4 linked regions of the Coturnix japonica genome follow. The protein of the gene in region 3 interacts with the protein of the main gene of each other region in a biochemical or structural test. Links are inferred from orthologs where the notes say so. Each region holds a gene or a part of one and is shown on either strand. Other genes may lie near its edges. The genes, in order: MAPK11, MAPK13, ATF2 and FOS.

Region 1 (3,709 bases), on a different chromosome or scaffold from region 3:
CTTTCTTCAAGAGAGGCCTAACTAGAAACACAGGTTCACAGCTATTTTATGCTGCTTTTGGAAGAGCCCTTTATCTTTTCATGTTCACATCATATTTTGTGCCTTGTGCAGCAATGATGCATCGCATCAGTGGCCACCTCCTATGGATTTTCTCAAGCTAGATAACGTATTTTATGGATCAAATCCAGTCCATACGTAAATAACAGCCAACTATGTGCTACTTCAGGATCTGACAGCTAATAAGCATGAAAATGGACTGAGCATTACTGTAAGAAGGGTGTACAAATCCTACAGCTGGGTCTTGGCTACACTTCAGTTGCGCAGCTTTGCTAACAATTGAAGGATTCCCCTGGAAGAAACTCCACATACAGAGCCCTGAGGCTGAAGGATTTGTTGGGTGACTCAGTGCTTGATCTGCAGCATTTAAAGAGCACCTGGTCACAGGCAGCCAGGTATGTCAGAGAGCTCCTGGCTGAAGTCAGTAAGGTAGTGCCCTCACGGATCAGGTGCCTGGGACTGTATTATAAATTATGCTGCTGCCTGTGAACTGCCTGCTTATGAAGCTCTTTCCTCTGTTCTCCTGTCACCTAGTTAGCTGAAAGTACAGATGTTATGCTGAGATATGTGAAACTGGAGCAGCAGCGAAGGAGCGATAGTGCGTAGCGTTCAACTCTGAATGGCATTCTCTTGGCCTCTGCATTTTGAAATATCTTCTAACTGATTAAACATGTCAGAAGAAAATCTATGAGCTTGGGCTGCAAACCTCAGCTGTGCAACAGAGGTCAAGGAAATTCTTAAGTGCCCAACGTGTAACACAAAGTGTCTGAAATCTCATTTTACTTTGGCTGCTCAGTGCCCCTTGGGATCAAGCACCACTTTTAATTTGAACAGAAAAAGAGAAATATGGCACTGATGTCTGGAGAAAAATGGGTCAATATTTCATTAACAATTCAAACATTTTATGCAAACTGTGACCTTTAATGTCACCTTATTAAATCTGGCCCATATGGTGCTTGAAAATATTTACTTTCCCAAGCTAAGAATGTGGCCAGGAGGAAGAGCTGCACGTTTCATGCCAGGATAGTCTTGAAATTCTTTTTTCCTGTATAAAGAAGGAATTTCATCTGTAGTTCCCAAAGCACAGCGGTGTAATAAATACGGCACTGCTGTAGGACACACTGCCCCTCCTATGGAATTCACCTCCAATTTGTCAGTTCGAAGTCAAGCTAAGACTGTTCTTAAGTTATTTTAACAATGTTTCACCACCGACAGAAATCAGCTTTATTGAATTGGAAACTGTTAAACTTGCCAGTTAAGGACTCTGTCAGCTCAACAAGCAGCAGAAAGCAAACCATCCATTGGTAAGTACAAAAGCAAACTGAACACACCTCCTCACTGCCAGATTTTGCATACAGAGTATGGTTAAGGAGCCCTGATGCCACTCAATCCTCACTTTTTCTATAGACCCTTCTAGGATGTTAGAAAACCTTTTCAGGACTCTAGGAGGCTGCTTTACTGTACTGCTTTACCCATGACCTATTTTGTATCTCTCTGAGGCGTGTTTGCTGTAGTCAACCTCCTCAATACCCAGGATAAAACGTGGCACAGAATGCAGAAAGTCAGCGCAAGGACATGAGGAAGGTCCAGGAGGTCAGTAATGTTCACCATAACACTAGGTACTGTGCTCATATATTTGATCAAACTAATCTGGGGAACAAGTTATAGAATACATAAGCAGAAAAAGAAAAGTATTTATTTTATAGATTACATAATGATGAGCTTAAGCCAAGGAGAGGGCTTTATTAATAAACAGGAAGAGTTAGTTTTCTAGAACATTTCTCAATTTAGAATGTTGAGTAAGGATGCTTTAGCTTATGCTATATCCCCATTGGACAATGATGAAATTGGACTGTGCTTTTCAGTGTATTTGCAAACTTACTGTTTAGCCACACTATTTCTGTGATGCTACACTGCAATATGATCATGTTGCAAGCATGAAATTAACTACTGAAAAAACGTTGCAGTATTTCTTTCAAGTTTGGGGTTTTGTCACCCCAAAGTAAAACCATCAGTTCACACCTCAAACAGGATCAACAGCATGCTTTATCTATTCACAATTAGCTGCCTATATCAAGAAGGATTAGTAAAATACATGTGTACATAGCAATTTTTCACTTCTTCTGAAGAACGTGAGGCCAGAACCCCAAAAAATGTCAGATGCCCTAAGACTGTTACTTCAGCTGAGGATCTGGCCTAGGAGATTGAAAGGAAGATGAAATGAGTGGTTACATGGTAACTAGTGTCAGCTTTCAGTTAAGGTTAAACTTGCTATAGGAAACCTAGTCAGGTGTTGTTAGAGGAAGAATGGAAGAAGGGAGCAAAATCCAGGGAGAAACTACCAGCCCTTCCACCTCTCTACTCACACAAACACATATGGACTGTCCTTGCATCCCTGAAGAGTTAAAACTGCTCTGGTCCAAAACAGAGAAATACTGTTTCCGAAGCCAGGTTTTGTTCTGCTGACCACATTAACTCCTATGTGCAGTTATCTGTTACCTTTCCATTCTTCTATGGTTCGCTCTTTATTCTCTATTGACTCATCATAGAGCTCGGCCTCAGGTTCGTCATCTGGATCGTGATACTGCACAAAGTATGGGTGTGCAAGCGCTGCCGAGGCAGTGATTCTTTTATCACTGTCCAATATCAGCATCTTCTCAAGAAGGTCTACCGCTATGGGAAAAAGAGAAACTAGGATCAAAACCAGAAGGGACCATCTAGAAGTGGAAGAGAAGGCAACTGTTTACATACAATTTGTTCTCACCTTATGCTCAGTTAACATTATTGGGAAAAATACCCACAGAATTTAAGCAATATAACAATTTTTAGAGATTTTATACTGCAAGTAGAACTCTCATAGTTGGAAGAAGCTTCTGGTTTGCTTGTGGAGCGCAATGCAGTTCATGATAATCTATCTGAAATCTGGTTCACCTCATTAGACATTCACAGCCTTCACCCTGAAAACATCCGTGTGCTTCAAGTTAAATCCCCCATGTTGTGCATCTGGTGCTTAACAAGGTCCCATCAGACCAGGTAACAAAAGCACCAAGAGGCCTACCACCAAGTAAATGGGTTTAAAGGGAACAGCTGCAGATTATTAGAATATACTTGTATTTGTAAAAATAAAACTGTATTTCGACAAATATAAATAATTCCCATCTTAACTCAAAATATTTCCCTCTTTACAACTCTTGAATGTGCACCAGGTGAAACAAACTAGGCAGTGTAGCAAGATGTTTCAGGTGACTGAGCATCTTCTTCGCCTTGCCACAATGAACGATTCATTGAAAAATCTCTTTTGCACAGGCAGATCCAATTGATTAAACACAATAACAGCTGTGCCAGATCAGACCATTGGCCAGTCTAGCCCAGTATCCTGTGTCCAACAACGGTTCATAAATTCTTAGGAAATAATACTCAAAAGGAGCATTCAAACAGCTCTATTTCCTGGCGTGTTCTCCTCCTTGCCAGCAATTCACAGCTCCTGGCCTTCCTGAGCCAGAAGTGATGCCTCTAGTCCAGATCCTGTGACAGTTTTTATGCACCCCTCCTATATATCGCCTGCTTTTGCTTTTCACCCACAGACTGTTTTCACCCACTGAATTTTCCATTACAACGAGCCAGTAATTTCCACCAAAATCAAAAGATTTGG
Region 2 (4,943 bases), on a different chromosome or scaffold from region 3:
CTATGGATCTCAGGATCCTGATTGTAGGCCTTGGGGAGGAGACATTTCTAGACATTTATCAGTTGCAGGTGTCCTGTGCATGCAACACAGCAGCTGTGTATGTGAGGAGAAGGGCTTTGCAGTGTTTTGCATTCTTGTTACTTACGGGATGGAGAGGAACTGTTTGTAGTATTTTTACCACGTGTCTGAAGAGGCAGCACAAAGGGATGGGACACAAGAAAAACGAAGCCATCAATTCTTGCTAGGCTACTTTCCAGTGATCTCTTCAGGTCAAACTGAAGGCTGGGGTGAGGTGAAGAGGGACTTCGTGCTCTGTGATAACGCTCAGTTCAGACCAACAAAATAGCGACAAAACCTCCCTGCTGGACAAGCAGTCCGAGTATTCAAACGGAAAAAAAAAAATAAATGTAGATAGACTCTGTAAACCTACAGCAGGATGATTTTTATCAGCCATTTTATGTGTAGATGCTACAAGTGTGATTCCATGCGGAAATACTGCTCAAGATTTTTATTAATATAGACATTGTGCATCTGTGTGCGAGTGGGAAGCTTTCATTCACAGCCCTGCTTGAGGGAGCTCCTGCCTGCAGTGCGGTGCTGTTCAGCTGCCTGCAGCCTGAACAGGAGGATGCACTTCAAAGAACAGATCTGCTATTTTCTTTCTATCCGTGAGTTTTGTTGAAGTTGGTTATGCCGGATAAGATGTCACAATACCACTGGTTAAAAATAAAACCTATTTTTCAGATCTGCTGTGCTGATGGTTCTTCTGACCCCTTTGGCTAAAGGTGTGATTTTGATGTGAGATGAATTCCTCTCTCGTCGTACAGAATCCCGCGTGGTGGAGGGGTGTGCAGTGCGGCCCAACTGCAGGCCCATGCCCATTTGCCTCCCCCCCCCCCCAGGTACAAACCTGGCCTGGAGTCTGCATGACTGCTGTACAGTGAAAGTACGTGTAGGCTGTGTATATAGTGTACACAATAAATGAGCATTCTGCTCCTTGCCTTGACCTGGGACTTTTCCCTGGTAGCAGAGATTTGCAGCTGTCTGCTGCTTAGAAATGGGTGGGTTTCTGTCTCCAGCTGCCATCCAGTCGGTGGTGGGAGCAGGCGTTGTGACTTGCCATAATGGTGGTTTTCTGACTGCTGTTTGTCCAGCACTGTTCAGTCAGAAGGGCAATCAGGGGTAACTGAATAGAGCTGCGTTCATCACACCAACAGAAGCTGCAGTGCTGGCTGTGATGGAGCTGCAGCTTGTGCTGCTCCCCCTGCAGCACTGCACGGAGGTTGGTTTGAAGAGGCACACAGGGAAAGAGAAAGGTGTTTGCTGTGGTGCAAATGGAGAGAAAGAATCAAATGGTCAGAAAGAATCCTGGATGGAATTTGTCAGTTTTTCTGGGGAGAAGAATCCCAAACCTTCCACATTCCTGAGTTGTGTTTGGTTGCAGTTTATGTTAGTTAGCAAACGACACTAAAATCGGTGAGAAATTAGGGAAAAGTGACTTAGACTAATTCAAAGAAAACAGGAAATCTTAAATTAACTCCTCTTCCAATAGCTGTGCCCCAGATACTCACAGCTCCTGGACAGGTGCTGGCAGCCACGTGCGTGCAGTTGAGCAACAATTCTCCGTGCTCACCAGGTGACAGATGAGTTACATTTGTTTCTGCCGCAGCACTTCTGGCTGTAACTCCTCTTGCTCACGGATGTATTTATAGAACCCAGCCCATTCTGCTTTGTTTCCTTACTATGCTGTTGCTAGAGCCAGGGTTGGTTTGTACGTGTGTGCATAAGTAAAACTGAAATGCTGCCAGCACGCAGACCCTGATGTGCTTTATAGAACTGCAGGCCCTACCACTGCTACCTGGAGAACACCTGTGCCAATTTTAAAGCATGGTGTGGTGGTTGCATGTAAGCAGATAAAAGGAAACCTCCCTAAAACTGCAGTAGTGCATTTCTGTAAGTCCCACCTGTAGGGCAGAGGATGGAGCAAAGCTGAGTGTTGGCAGAGCGTGGCTCCTCAGGCAGAGCTTAGTCACTTCCTCCAGAGGGAGGGTAAACCCTCGGAGCTCCACTGAAGTCAAATCAGAGTGTGAGGTCTGTGCTCAGCAGGGTGGGCTGGGCGCTGCGCGGCGGGACTGACTGCTGCAGAAACGAGGCCGGACCCCTCAGACCCCAACACCTGCAGCTCCCAGGATGATCCCATCTCAGAGCAACTCCTGAGCATCTCACTGCAGTCTCGTAGATGAAGGGAAGCTCAGACAGCCTTCTCTGCGCCGTGTGCTGGGAAACTGTGGAGGAAATTCTGGCTGCTCTCTTGCTCTTCGGTGAATGTAACACCCCAGTGTCTGTCCTGGAGCTCTCCTCTCCCAGCAGGTCCCTGCAGGGCTGACTCGGCACTGTGGCACGGTGACCAGGTGTGACCTCGGTTTCCTGATGCGCCCTTACTCACCCCATCGGCGATCTCACGAGACCCCCGTCAGCCCCATGTGGCACTTGTGGGGCGTCTCTTCTCGCAGTCCCACATGCAGCTGCAGGTGTGTCTGCGTTGTGGCGTCTATCGGAGCACCCAGAAATACCTGCACACAGCCAAGGCGTGTCTGGAAACCTGATGCCTCATCTCCGCCATGTGGAGGCGGAGGGAGGAGGGCTGTGAGACATGTCCCTTCTTGCTCACAACAGCTGAAAGCAGACAAGGCAGCTCACTGTAGCCCTTCTCAGCAGCGCAGGGCATCCCGGTTGCACCCCAGGGGCGCCGCCAGCCGCCGGGACCCTGGGTGGGTGGCAGTCCCGCAGCCACCGGGCGATGAACATCGCAAGGAGAAGAGGCTTCTACAGACAGGAGCTGAACAGAACCATCTGGGAGCTGCCCAGGAGGTACACGTCCCTGCACCCTGTGGGCTCTGGGGCCTACGGTTCTGTCTGGTGAGTGGGGCCTGGGGGAGCAGCGAGGGCTGATGGTGAGAGGTGCCTCAGCACCCTCTGGTCTGATGAGGGTCTTTGTGTGTGCGATGAAGGTAGTTTGTATGTTGCTCGGTCACCCTGAAGGGCTGCTTGAAGAATGGCCCTGTGCCTCCTGCGGTCACCCCGACAGGCAGCAGGGAGAGTCGTGTCTGGCTCAGCCCTGAGGGTGTCCTGCAGGTGGGGATGTCCTCGGGTCAGAGCTTGGGGGATGGATGTGGTTGGCAGGAAGAGGGAAATGCCTGAATATCTGAGAGCTGAAGAGTTGGGCACTGCTGAAACAAACACTGAGCTCTGGGCAGAGCTGTAGCAGCTGATGCTGTCTCATGGGGGAATGGAGCTGGGTGGTACAGCCAGAGCACTGTGTCCAGCTCTGTGTTGTGAGGCAGCAGCCATCTGGGACTTCCCGGGACTTCCCGGAACCAGGGAGCAGCAGAGCTGCTGTTAATCAGTTACTTGGACAAAGGTACCTACAGGGAAAGCGAGCAGAAGAGTCAGATCTCACTTTGTTTACACTGGTGGGTGTGAGGGTGCTGGTGACTCTTAGTGAGGGCAAATCCATTGCAGCCCATTGTCAGTACCCAAGCAGAACCTCACAGCATAACAGGGTGAAAAGAAGAGGGAAGAAGTGTGTCCTCTTTCCTGGATGTTGGGCAAAGCATCTCCTGCTGTCCCAGAGGAATCCCCAAACTCCCTGCCTTTACTGGGGCTCTGTCTGCACTGCAGGATGTGAATGGGGACCAGAGTTTTCCTTCCCCACTTCGCTGAGTGTATGCAGGGTGGGGTCCTGGGATGCTTCTGTGAGCCCCATAATGCTAAACTTGATGTTTTCATATCTACACAGAAAAAAGCAAGAAAAATCCCTCCAAAGTTTTCTCGACTAGCAAAACACCAGTACCCAAACCAGCCCATACTGTGGGAGTCTCAGCTGCTCAGGAAGGGATGGGTTAGAGCGGACTGAGGGGGACGGGGGCTTTGTTATGGGATGGATGGTGCTTGGCAAGGTGGGATTGTGCTGGTTCCTGTACACAGCACAGGAGGAATGCTGTGCAGTTGGGATTTGCTGTCCTCTGCTGGGAACCACTGGGAAGCTTTTCTATCACAGTGTTATTTGGAGCCAACAGCTTTTGCACATCTTTGAACAACCAAGAGGGGCTGAGAAACAAATTGCAGGAGGTCAGCACGGGCCTGTTTCTTTCCCCATTAATTCAGCAGTGACTTGGTAACTGGGGAAGTTTTCTGATGCCCCCAGCCCTGTCCTATGGGTGCGACGTGCCACAATTACCCATAGAACCTTCATGACCTCACCTCGAGGTTGGCCTTGGTGTCATCCTGAGCTTCAGCTGCTCCTTAATCTTTGCTGGGAAGAACACCGTGGGCTCGCCCAGCTGTGTCACATGAGTTACCTCTGGGCTGTGCATTATGGCAAAGGCAAAAGTGGCTCCATCTGTGCTGGGTGGAGTGAAACTCCAGCTCCTAAGTGGAGTGATGGGGTTGGACGTGTGTTCTGCAAGCCCCACGCTGGGAAGGCAGTAAGAGCCAGCGCTTGGAGGCTGGGAAATCTGCCCTGACTTCTGTGTTTGAGTGGTGCCGGATCCTTCCTCTTTGTTCCTTCACAGCTTGGAGAGCTGTGCTGCCCTTCTGCCAGCAGCAGCTAAAGAACGAATGGAACTGAGACAAACCTTTCCATTCCTCTTGAGATATCCTTCAGTGTCACTTCCAGAGCTGATGCAGCCTGGTGTGGCTGTCCCAGTGCTCCCTTTGCTTTTTCCAGCTTGAATATGTTACAGAATTGCAGCTGCACCAAAGCACTCAAAGGATGTCTGCTCTCATCACTGGTAGCTCAGAGCAACCAGAACGGACCTTCGTGGCCATGAGGGGGAAGATCAATTGCCTGATGGCATCAGAGATGTCTCTGCTTGCTCAGTCAGAGCTGCTGGTGAGCTGGACCTCTGGCAGCCATATCACAGTGAATTGCTGGTAGCTGG
Region 3 (5,009 bases):
ATTACAGACCGCTTTCAGAAGTGTTCTGACTGCATTTCTGTCATGTCACCACAGAATTTAACATTCCTAAAGAACTGAAAGTGAAAAATGAACAGACTGAAGGAGGAAAAATATGGAAAAATATAAACGTTCCTCCTTAAAAAAGATGTAGAATCACTAGCAAGTAGATTCTGGAAGATAACTATAGGCTGTTTAAAGGATGCAAACCTCAAGAACTGGTCAATAGGAAAACAGGAGCTTCTTCTTCAAAACTGTCACTCTACTGCTTAGAAGAGCAGTTGTTCCACTTCCTCGAAGTCACGCGGTCTCTCTCAGTGTTCTGGGGAGGCAGAAGGCAATGCCTGTTGCATCAAGCTTTCTTCTTTCAAAAGCAGGCCTAATGTTGATGCTGTCAGTGACCTGTCTGTAACTGACGTCTAAGTCAAATAGAGGAAGGTACGGAACTCAATTCAAATAACTAAGAGGGATCTCATCTGGATAAGAGGAAAAATGTGTGAGAAGTGAAGACGATTGACTTAACAATTTCAAATGAGAACAAGAAATCTACTGGCCAGATAGTCACGTGCACAGAAACAAACCAATGAAGTCACTTTGGTTCTGCAGTAGGAGCAAGCTTTTCACATAAGAAGGGACAATTCTGGTAAACCAGGAGCACTGATGGAATAAAAGAAATGTTCCTAGACCCAACAGTTCCAGCTGACTGAATCTGACAGCTCGAATGTCAGCTCCCTGGCTTGGATATTTCTCAGAGGGGCTTGGATTAGTGGAAGCTTATGCAGTGTGAATGCAGCTCTTACAGCAGACAAGTAGAAAGCCAGGGAATCTCAGAGAGCAAATACACAGGATTTCATATTCCTGAGATCTCTCTGTGACTTGTTTAGCAAGATATTAGCTTTTACGCCTTCACCAGCTCAATTACCTAAGTTTGAAAGTTTTATTACTGTCCATCAACCTCAGAGACATTGTAAATCTAGTCTTCTGCAACTTTATTTTCAGCAAATTAAAAATATCTTAAAATTAAAATTAAAAATATCTTAACAAAGGTACTTCATTTTTACAGATCGCATCCTTTGAGTACGTAACTCCATACAATAACCAAGGGTTTGATTTAAAATTCTTAAATATACCAAGGAGTGTGCTACTGAAGCACTCTCAAAGCTCATTAAAACAGAGTGATGTATTTTTTTCCTATAAGCAACAAGGTAAATGGCCACTGGCATTTACCCAGAAATAGAAACACACTGTATTGTTCCCACTAACTTACAAAAGAAAAACTCCAGTCTGAAGTAGAGCTAATAGGAAAGTTCTGAGGTTGAGCTCCTGCTAAGCAGCTACTGACACAAAAATCAATCAGATACAGTATGGCACCAACTTGAAACAAAAATATGAGCATAGTTAAAAAGTATCGACTCATATTTCTACCCCCAGATATATTCAGTGTCTCAGAGTGTACCCTATTGATTTGAAACAAATATACTTAAGTTATGCAGGAGGATACGATAACTTGAAGTCTATTCATTATTACAGAGAGAAGTTAATGCAGCTGAATCATGTTTACTCCTCTAAAACCAGTCTTAAAAAAAAGTTTAACAACAGTTAAATAAAACAGTAAAAGAGGCTTTTAAAAAATTTTAAAAGATAAATGGTGGGGGGAAGAGAAAGAATAGCTGATGAAAGGCATTTTAGGCAGAAGATGGACCCTAATTAATAAGATTAAAAGAACACCATATTTCAGGCTGCTCAATGCTGTCACAGAACCACTAGAGAAGTAGCATGAAAACAAAAATTATTCATAAAGTTATGCAAGATTAACTCAGGACCTGAAAGAACCTTATGTTACACACTGCACAGCTAAGAATCTTCTAGAAAAAGATGTACCAAAAATGTCTGTATTTCTAGAATTGAAGTCAGGATGGAAACATGACTATACAATGAGAAAGATCAAAGACCCAACCAGCTGACTGGGTGTAGGCATGTGCTATCAAGTGTAAAACAAACACACCACCAAGTTCTTTTGTAAGCAGCTTCACCCCATGTTTTTTTGGATGCACTACAAAAAGCAGTTTACGACATTTGTTTTTTTCAATAAGGCTTCAATAAGGGCTTAAAAGAGAACCCAAGTGACTGCCACACTTCACCAGTTCATGCCTCTGAAGTGATGTCTGTAACCAGACTTCCATTAACATCAGCAACTGATGTTTCATTAGCCAACTGAAGACACGTCTACCACAGTGGAAACCAAGGACCATAAAGTTTTTGTAATCCTATAAATCAAAGTTGAACAGAGCATCTAATGCAGGCACAGCAGTCACACAGTGTTAACTTCAGGCACACCTGCTTTTCTCCTTTTTTTCTTTGTAATCAGCTCTATGTGCCTTTACACTCAGCAAGAGCTTGAGAAGAGATTCCCAGCTCTGAGTACAGTGTGACAAGATGACGACAAACACATTCTAAAAGGCAGGAGAGAAAACTGCAGGAGAAAATTCACTTTGCATTAGCTGTTTGCAAAGCAGCGGATGACTCACAATTTCCAGCTGTAGTAGCCTTATATCCTACTATGAAGCAGGTGACTGCATCTTTATTTGAAGGGAAAGGTCATTTCTGGAAGAAACTAGCAAGGAAAAGCAAACAAGTGACATAGGAATGGGTGAGACATAGAAACGCACTGATGGAACCCCCTCCAAACAGAGGGGTGTAGGAAGGCTGCAGCACGAACAAAGCTGCAGCAGCACAACAGCACCTGTACCTCAAACCCACAATCACACAGCACCGAGGGCATGAAATATCCGTGCCTGAAACACCGTGCAATCATCAGCGCCTGAAGGCCCGCGCTGCGCTGCTTGCTTTTAATCCTCTGACAGCTTCGGAGATGTTTCATTAGCACAACCCTGAAGGCACAGGCCGCGGCCCTGCCTGCACAAGAGGCGCTCGCTTCCTCCTCCTCCCCCCCCATACCGCTAAGCCCGAGCGCTGGGCGCAGCCCGAGGGCCTCCGGAGCCACGGATGGACGCGGAGAGGCCTCCTTGGGGCCGGGGCTCAGGCCGAGCCCGGGGCAGCCACCGGAGGCGAGAGAAAAGCCGACGCATCCTCCGCCCCGCCGCCCCCATCCGATCGGCCCGTACCTGCGGCGGCTCCGGCGTCCTCCTGCCCGGCTCTAGGGGCGGCGGGAGCCGCAGGCCGCGGTGGGGGAGGGGGCTGCGGCGGCGCGGAGCCGCGGCGCCATATTACCGCCTCCCGGGAACCCCCGCCTACCCCTCGGCGGGGCCGCTCCCTCCCCTCCGCCCTCGGGGCGCTCCCCGCGGCCCGGAGCCGGGCGCAGCGCGGAGGGCGGAGCCGGCACCTGGCCCGGCAGAGCCGCGCTCCTGTTTACAAACTCACCCGGGAACGCGGGCCGCGCCAAACACGAACGGCCGGGTCCCCCACAGGCTTCCGTCACATCTCGCGAGAACAACGCCGACATCTCCGCGGGACCGGTGGAACGCAGGTCACGTGGCGCAGGGGGGCGGGGACGGCGCCCATTGGGCGATGCCGGCGGGGCGGCTGCGGCTCGTCGTGAGGACGGGAGAGGCCGGGCCGGGTGTGGGGGCGGTACAACACGGGATGGATGATCCGGGCTACGTCCGACGGGACACGGCACGGACACGAATCTTTGGTCCAGCACGGAGCAGGAACAGAGACAGGGAGTCTGTGCGCCCCGGGATCATTCAGGTGTGAACACCCACCTATCATTCAATGTTTCAAAACCCACTTATCAATCATCATTCACCTTATTGTCAATGAGGACATTATTGCCAATGAGGTAGCGAACTCCCTGCGTGCAGGTTTGTTTCTGTGCTTTAGAAGCCCGTGATGTGTCCAACAGTGAGATCCAATTCATCCATACGTGGCATTACTTAACAGCAATTCTGGACTGCGTTCAGCAGTTCTTGAAAAGATGGCTATTTCCATTGAAGAACATACAGAGCAAGTAGCTTCATGCTACGTTCGAGTTAAGCTGAATGAATACCCACGTAGTATTGAAACTCAAAGCGAAGAGTTTACCTGCAGATCACACACATCAGAGCCACCAACCAGTTTCTTCACATACCCGAGGACGGGCTACTTACAGCTCATAGCTCCCTGGATTTAATTCCGTAACAGCAGGAAAGCAAAGCTCATAAACCTGTTTGCTTTCTTCCAAAGGTCAGTTTGTCGTTGTTGAATGATTAGATCTATTATTTAATATTCAAAGCCACCCAACCAATTAGTGCACAGCATTACACAGTACATTGCTGTAAGCGCAGACAGCACCTTAAATGTATTAAGGTTGTTAAAAGATAGAAACCATGAGATGCAAAGCTTGAAGTGCAGCATTTTGTCACTCTTGGATCCTACTGTTTTCCAAACATCAGGTTAATGACAAATCTTTACTATATCAAAAAGCTGGACATTCTCCCATGCCAAGAACACTGTAATTAAGTAAGAGTATAATGTCTATGTGCCATTGGCTTCGGACCAATCTCAACCAGTAGTTAAGTTCAACCTGGAGAACCAAGCAGAAAACTTCTACTAGGATGATCAAAATTAGTAGTGGGACTGATGCAAACAGCTTCCTTATCACTGCTGGAGAATTGTTAAGCTTATTGTACCGTGAGATGCCAAAACTCTGTGTGCCAGCTAATCTAGTGGGGAGGACAACACAAAACTGTGCAGAGAAACAGCTCTGGATAAATGTGAAATAGGTAAAGGAACAAGGCCAGAAGTACAACTTCTCACACTTGGTCAGTGCATCCTTTGATTTTCCTAGGATTAATCATACTGATTTTATCAAGCAAGTGACACTGCCACAAATATTATATGCTTGACTTGAAGTTATTGTTTAAAGGGTCCTACATATACGTCATTACCACAAAATAAAGTCATAACTTTATAAGAAAGATAAAAAATGCAAGGAACAGGATGACAGTTAAAGTTGTTTATCTTTAATGAAATGACTTTGGAAATAGCATCAATTTCCATGACACCAACAT
Region 4 (4,833 bases), on a different chromosome or scaffold from region 3:
TCGTGCCTCGCCTGCGTGCAGCCCTGTGCTACCACTTGCTTCCTCTTGGTTTTTTTTCACACTAGCTGTGGAGACATGGTGCGCACCCCGTGTCTGGAGCAAATAACAAACCCACGTCATGTGTTTTCGGTTTCTCTGTTCCCTTGCCTCAGCGGCACGTGCTGGAGATGCACAGCAGCACCTGGGCACTTTCCGTTTGATACAAACACGGTGCCCTGGGTCACCGGTAGAGATGGCAACAACACGCTGTTTGCACGGGCACCCAAAAACATTCGGGGCTGTCGGTGGAGCTTTCACTCCACTTTCACCTGCTTTCCAGAAACTTCCTTCTGGGTGCAGTTTGGCCAGAGGGACACCGGGCGGTTTGTGGCGCGTTGCCCCTGCTCCTGCCCGGGACGTGGCAGCGATGCTGGGGTCACGGCATCGCCTGTTTGCGGCGCGTCCCTCCGGCAGCAGCGCCGAGGGCGGCTCTCCGAGCTGCGGCCAGAGCGAGGGGCGGGGGGTCCGGGCCGGTCCCATGGAGGGAGCAGCCCTGGCAGGCCCGGAGCCGGTGAGAGCAGCGCCGGCCCATGGGCCCCTCGGCCGGGAACGGCGGAGCCGTGCGCTGCGGCAGTCCTTGGCTGTCCCCTCGGCGCTGACGGGCAGCGCAGAAATAGCAGCTGGCCCAGTTCTCCCGCCCCCGTGGCCCAGATCTCTAAGAACGGAGGTTGTTCGCGCGGCAACAGCGGCAGCGGCATCAGGAGCCGCATTTAGACTGTGAGCTCAAAGAGCGGGAGAGGCTGCCAGCAGGATCCCAGCCTGCACGGGTGACGCTCCTGCTTGGAGACTGCGCTGCGGGCTCTGTTTGTTGCTGTAAACACGCTGCCGCTGCAGCTTCCCTGTTACTATCTATAGCCGCGATCTCTTGGCTCCCGTGCGAGGCGAGGCTGCGGTCTGGCCGCCGGCTCTGCCTGCCCCGAGCCAGGGCTGCCGACATCCCCGCCGTGGGTGGGTGTCTCCGGGCTTCGCCGCGACGGGGATCAAAACAAAACCCAAACTGGAGGAAAGGACGGGCCTCGCCCTCGCCGCTCCCCCCGCGCCCCCCGCCCGTGCCCCCGTCCCGACGCCCGGGGGGCTTCCCCGAGAGCTGCCCTGCCCCGGGCCGCCCCGCACTCCTTCCCGGCCCTCCGTGTGCGTGACCCCGCCGGGGGGACGCGTCCCCGCCGCGCTGAGCACCCTCCCGCCGCGGGGCAAAGGGGACGAAGGGCGCCGCGCCCCTCCGCACCCCACGCGTGTCCGCGGCCGGCTCCCATAGCACGAAGCCCCGCCGGGCCGCTCGGGGCGGGGGCTGCCGGCCGCGGGGGAGCGCCGCGAGGGGGGGTCGGGGCGGCCCCGTCCCACCGCGTCCCGTCCCGTCCCGCGCCGCACTTGGCCGCAGCCTGGAGCGCTTCCCGTCAGTCACGCCCCCTCGCACAGGATGTATCCCATATAAGGATATCTGCGTCAGTGGGTTCCCGAGACCGGCCGTACCACTCCGCGAGGGGGGGGTTATCCCGGAGCGGCTCCTCCCGCCCGTCCCGCCGCGCTCCCCTCGCCCCGCCGCGCCTCCTCCGCCCCGCGGTGCCGTCGTTCCCCGCACTTGGAGGCGGAGCGGGGCGGGCGGCGGGGCCGGGAGAGCGGGGCGAGGCGGACGCGGGCAGAGCGGCCCCCCCCGCGAGCGGGCGTGGTGCGTCCCGCGTGACGTGTGCGATTCACGCGGAGCAGGATATAAAGGGTTGGCGCCGAGCGATACTCCAGCGGCAGAGGCAGCTCCGGCAGCGGAGACAGAGACGCGCGGCGCGGAGCGGATACAGGGACGCAGCCGGCCCCTCTTTGCGTTCTGCCGCGAGGCGCTCCGCTATAGCACCGCAAGGCCCCCGCACGGCCACGCAAACAGCCGACATGATGTACCAGGGCTTCGCCGGGGAGTACGAGGCGCCCTCCTCCCGCTGCAGCAGCGCTTCCCCGGCCGGGGACAGCCTCACCTACTACCCGTCCCCGGCGGACTCCTTTTCCAGCATGGGTTCCCCCGTCAACTCGCAGGTGAGGGGCCGTTGCGCGGCCGCCGCGGGGCTGGGCTCTGGGGGTGCTGGGGGGAGATGGGTGCGGGGGGCGCGCCTCGGGCCGGGTCGGGGCGATGCGGGACCCGAGGGGGGCGGGTGGCTTCAACCGGGCCGGGGACAGAGTGGGGAGCGGCCGCGACGCCGCCGCGGGGCGGGCGGGGGGAGCCGGGGTCCGGGCTGCGCGTTGCGGCGGGTGTGTAAAGCGGCTTCATTGATAAAACGCGAGTTCATTGAGGAGACTCCGGAGCGGCGCCTGCGTCAGCGCGGACGTCAGAGATATTTATATCGGGCCGCTCTCGTGCGGAGCGGCGCTGGCGGCGCGGCCCCGGGGGCGGCGGGGAGCGGCTCGGAGGGGAGTGTCGGCCGCAGCCCCCCGCTCACCGAACCCCCCCCCCACTTTATGTCCCGCAGGATTTCTGCACCGACCTGGCCGTGTCCAGCGCCAACTTTGTACCCACCGTGACGGCCATCTCCACCAGTCCCGACCTGCAGTGGCTGGTGCAGCCCACCCTCATCTCCTCGGTCGCCCCCTCCCAGAACCGCGGGCACCCCTACGGCGTGCCGCCGCCCGCTCCCCCCGCCGCCTATTCCCGCCCCGCCGTGCTGAAGGCGCCGGGCGGCCGCGGGCAAAGCATCGGACGAAGGGGCAAAGTCGAGCAGGTGAGCGGGGCTAAGGGGAAGAGGAGGGGGGTGGAAATGGGGGGCCGGGAGAGGGGCCGGGGCGCGGGGAAAGGCGGGGGGTCTGACGGACGCGCTGACCGCCCTCTGTGTCCGCAGCTGTCCCCGGAGGAGGAGGAAAAGAGGAGGATCCGCCGGGAGAGGAACAAGATGGCAGCGGCCAAGTGCCGCAACCGGCGGCGGGAGCTGACCGACACGCTGCAGGCGGTGAGTGCCGCCCCGGGATCCCGGGGGCTGCGGGGCGGGGACGGGACCCCGCGGGTGGGGGCGGGCGGGTGAGGTTGGCTCCGGCTGACGGCCCGATCTGTGCTTCCGCAGGAGACCGACCAGCTGGAGGAGGAGAAGTCCGCTCTGCAGGCGGAGATCGCCAACCTGCTGAAGGAGAAGGAGAAGCTGGAGTTCATCCTGGCGGCGCACCGGCCCGCCTGCAAGATGCCCGAGGAGCTGCGCTTCTCCGAGGAGCTGGCGGCCGCCACCGCGCTGGACCTGGGCGCACCCAGCCCCGCCGCGGCCGAGGAGACCTTCGCCCTGCCGCTAATGACCGAGGCGCCGCCGGCCGTGCCGCCCAAGGAGCCCAGCGGCAGCGGGCTGGAGCTGAAGGCCGAGCCCTTCGACGAGCTGCTTTTCTCCACGGGGCCGCGGGAGGCCTCCCGCTCCGTGCCTGACATGGACCTGCCCGGAGCCTCCTCCTTCTACGCGTCGGACTGGGAGCCGCTGGGCGCCGGGAGCAGCGGGGAGCTGGAGCCCCTCTGCACCCCCGTGGTGACCTGCACCCCGTGCCCCAGCACCTACACCTCCACCTTCGTCTTCACCTACCCCGAGGCGGACGCCTTCCCCAGCTGTGCTGCCGCACACCGGAAGGGCAGCAGCAGCAACGAGCCGTCGTCTGACTCCCTCAGCTCCCCGACCCTGCTGGCCTTGTGAGGGGCTCGCCCCGCACTGACTGACCTGCCGGGCCCCCTCCCCTGCCCACGCACCCCCACGGACTCACCACGCCCCCCGGGCCTGGGGAGGGCACTGCCGCCGCCACCCCCACCCCATCCATCTGAGGCCCGGGGCCTGATGGAGTGCCTGGGCCCATACCTCCTCCAGAGATGTAGCAAACCGCATGGAGTTTGTCTTGTCCCCAACGGCCCATCTGTGAGAGCTGGTAGTCTGTAGCATGTCCCACATGGCTGGGTTGGTGACTCCCCCCCTCCTTAGTATCACTAGCATTAACTAATTAATCCCTTGGTTTTAAATGATTGGAATTAACCTGGTGCTGGGTATCTCCGACTTGTATCTAGTGCAGCTGATTAACAATAACTACTGTGTTCCTGGCAATATCGTGTTCTTAGCAACGACCCATCTTATGTGGGGGGGGAAAGAGACTCTATTTTATTTTCTAGTAGGTAGATGAATAGCTATATCCATGTACTGTAGTTCTACATCGATGTTCATTGTAACTTTACTGATCATGCGTTGTTGAGGTGGTCTGAATGTTCTGACATAAGTTTTCCATGAAAACGTTTTTATTGTGTTTTTAATTTATTTATTAAGATGGATTCTCAGATATTTATATTTTTATTTTATTTTTTTCTACCTTGAGGTCTTTTTTGACATGTGGAAAGTGAATTTGGATGAAACTTAAGCATTGTTTGCTTATTATTGTTCAGAGACATTGTCAATAAAAGCATTTAAGTTGAGTGCTGGTGCTGTCCTCACTTTACCTTTTGCGCTACTCCCTCTGACCCCAGTGGGGCTCCCTGAACTCTACTTGGGGTTGGGCTTTACCGAAATCTGACTGCCGTAAGCGTAGGGTGCGTTGGGGTGGGAAAACCATTAAGTGCAGATCTGTCATTGCCCTGATGTGTTAGTCAGCCCTGGCTGTGCCTATGCCCTTCCCACCCGCTGGTGGGGCCACCCCTCCCCTGACCTTCCGGCTTCCGTGGGCTGGTGCACCTCTGTGTGTTGCCTGCCGTGGCCTTTCTGTGATAAACCAGAGGCGTAGGAGGGGTCTCCCCCCTGAACTGCCCGGGCCATCTCTGTGCTGGGATCTGCTCTGTCACTTGCATGTGGCTGGCAGCCCAATTTC

Evidence for each region.
Region 1: of the proteins of ATF2 (region 3) and MAPK11, one has a biochemical effect on the other in vitro, tested with the Homo sapiens proteins (4 studies listed by BioGRID and IntAct). The link is inferred for Coturnix japonica from reciprocal best matches to the Homo sapiens genes ATF2 and MAPK11.
Region 2: of the proteins of ATF2 (region 3) and MAPK13, one has a biochemical effect on the other in vitro, tested with the Homo sapiens proteins (2 studies listed by BioGRID and IntAct). The link is inferred for Coturnix japonica from reciprocal best matches to the Homo sapiens genes ATF2 and MAPK13.
Region 4: the proteins of ATF2 (region 3) and FOS form a complex in vitro, tested with the Homo sapiens proteins (3 studies listed by BioGRID and IntAct, with this or other methods). The link is inferred for Coturnix japonica from reciprocal best matches to the Homo sapiens genes ATF2 and FOS.

What each region holds. Positions count from the first base shown.
Region 1 is NC_029516.1:18,209,491-18,213,199, forward strand, and holds part of MAPK11 (mitogen-activated protein kinase 11), read right to left. Parts: intron 2,731-3,709; coding exon 2,557-2,730; intron 1-2,556. UniProt on the Homo sapiens protein: Serine/threonine kinase which acts as an essential component of the MAP kinase signal transduction pathway.
Region 2 is NC_029541.1:544,916-549,858, forward strand, and holds the start of MAPK13 (mitogen-activated protein kinase 13), read left to right. Parts: upstream 1-1,568; 5' UTR 1,569-2,800; coding exon 2,801-2,919; intron 2,920-4,943. UniProt on the Homo sapiens protein: Serine/threonine kinase which acts as an essential component of the MAP kinase signal transduction pathway.
Region 3 is NC_029522.1:14,845,664-14,850,672, reverse strand, and holds the start of ATF2 (cyclic AMP-dependent transcription factor ATF-2), read right to left. Parts: upstream 3,493-5,009; 5' UTR 3,379-3,492; intron 3,238-3,378; exon of another isoform or gene 3,123-3,237; intron 320-3,122; exon of another isoform or gene 208-319; intron 1-207. UniProt on the Homo sapiens protein: Transcriptional activator which regulates the transcription of various genes, including those involved in anti-apoptosis, cell growth, and DNA damage response.
Region 4 is NC_029520.1:34,666,766-34,671,598, forward strand, and holds FOS (proto-oncogene c-Fos), read left to right. Parts: upstream 1-1,759; 5' UTR 1,760-1,920; coding exon 1,921-2,061; intron 2,062-2,492; coding exon 2,493-2,741; intron 2,742-2,858; coding exon 2,859-2,966; intron 2,967-3,077; coding exon 3,078-3,683; 3' UTR 3,684-4,444; downstream 4,445-4,833. UniProt on the Homo sapiens protein: Nuclear phosphoprotein which forms a tight but non-covalently linked complex with the JUN/AP-1 transcription factor. In the heterodimer, FOS and JUN/AP-1 basic regions each seems to interact with symmetrical DNA half sites.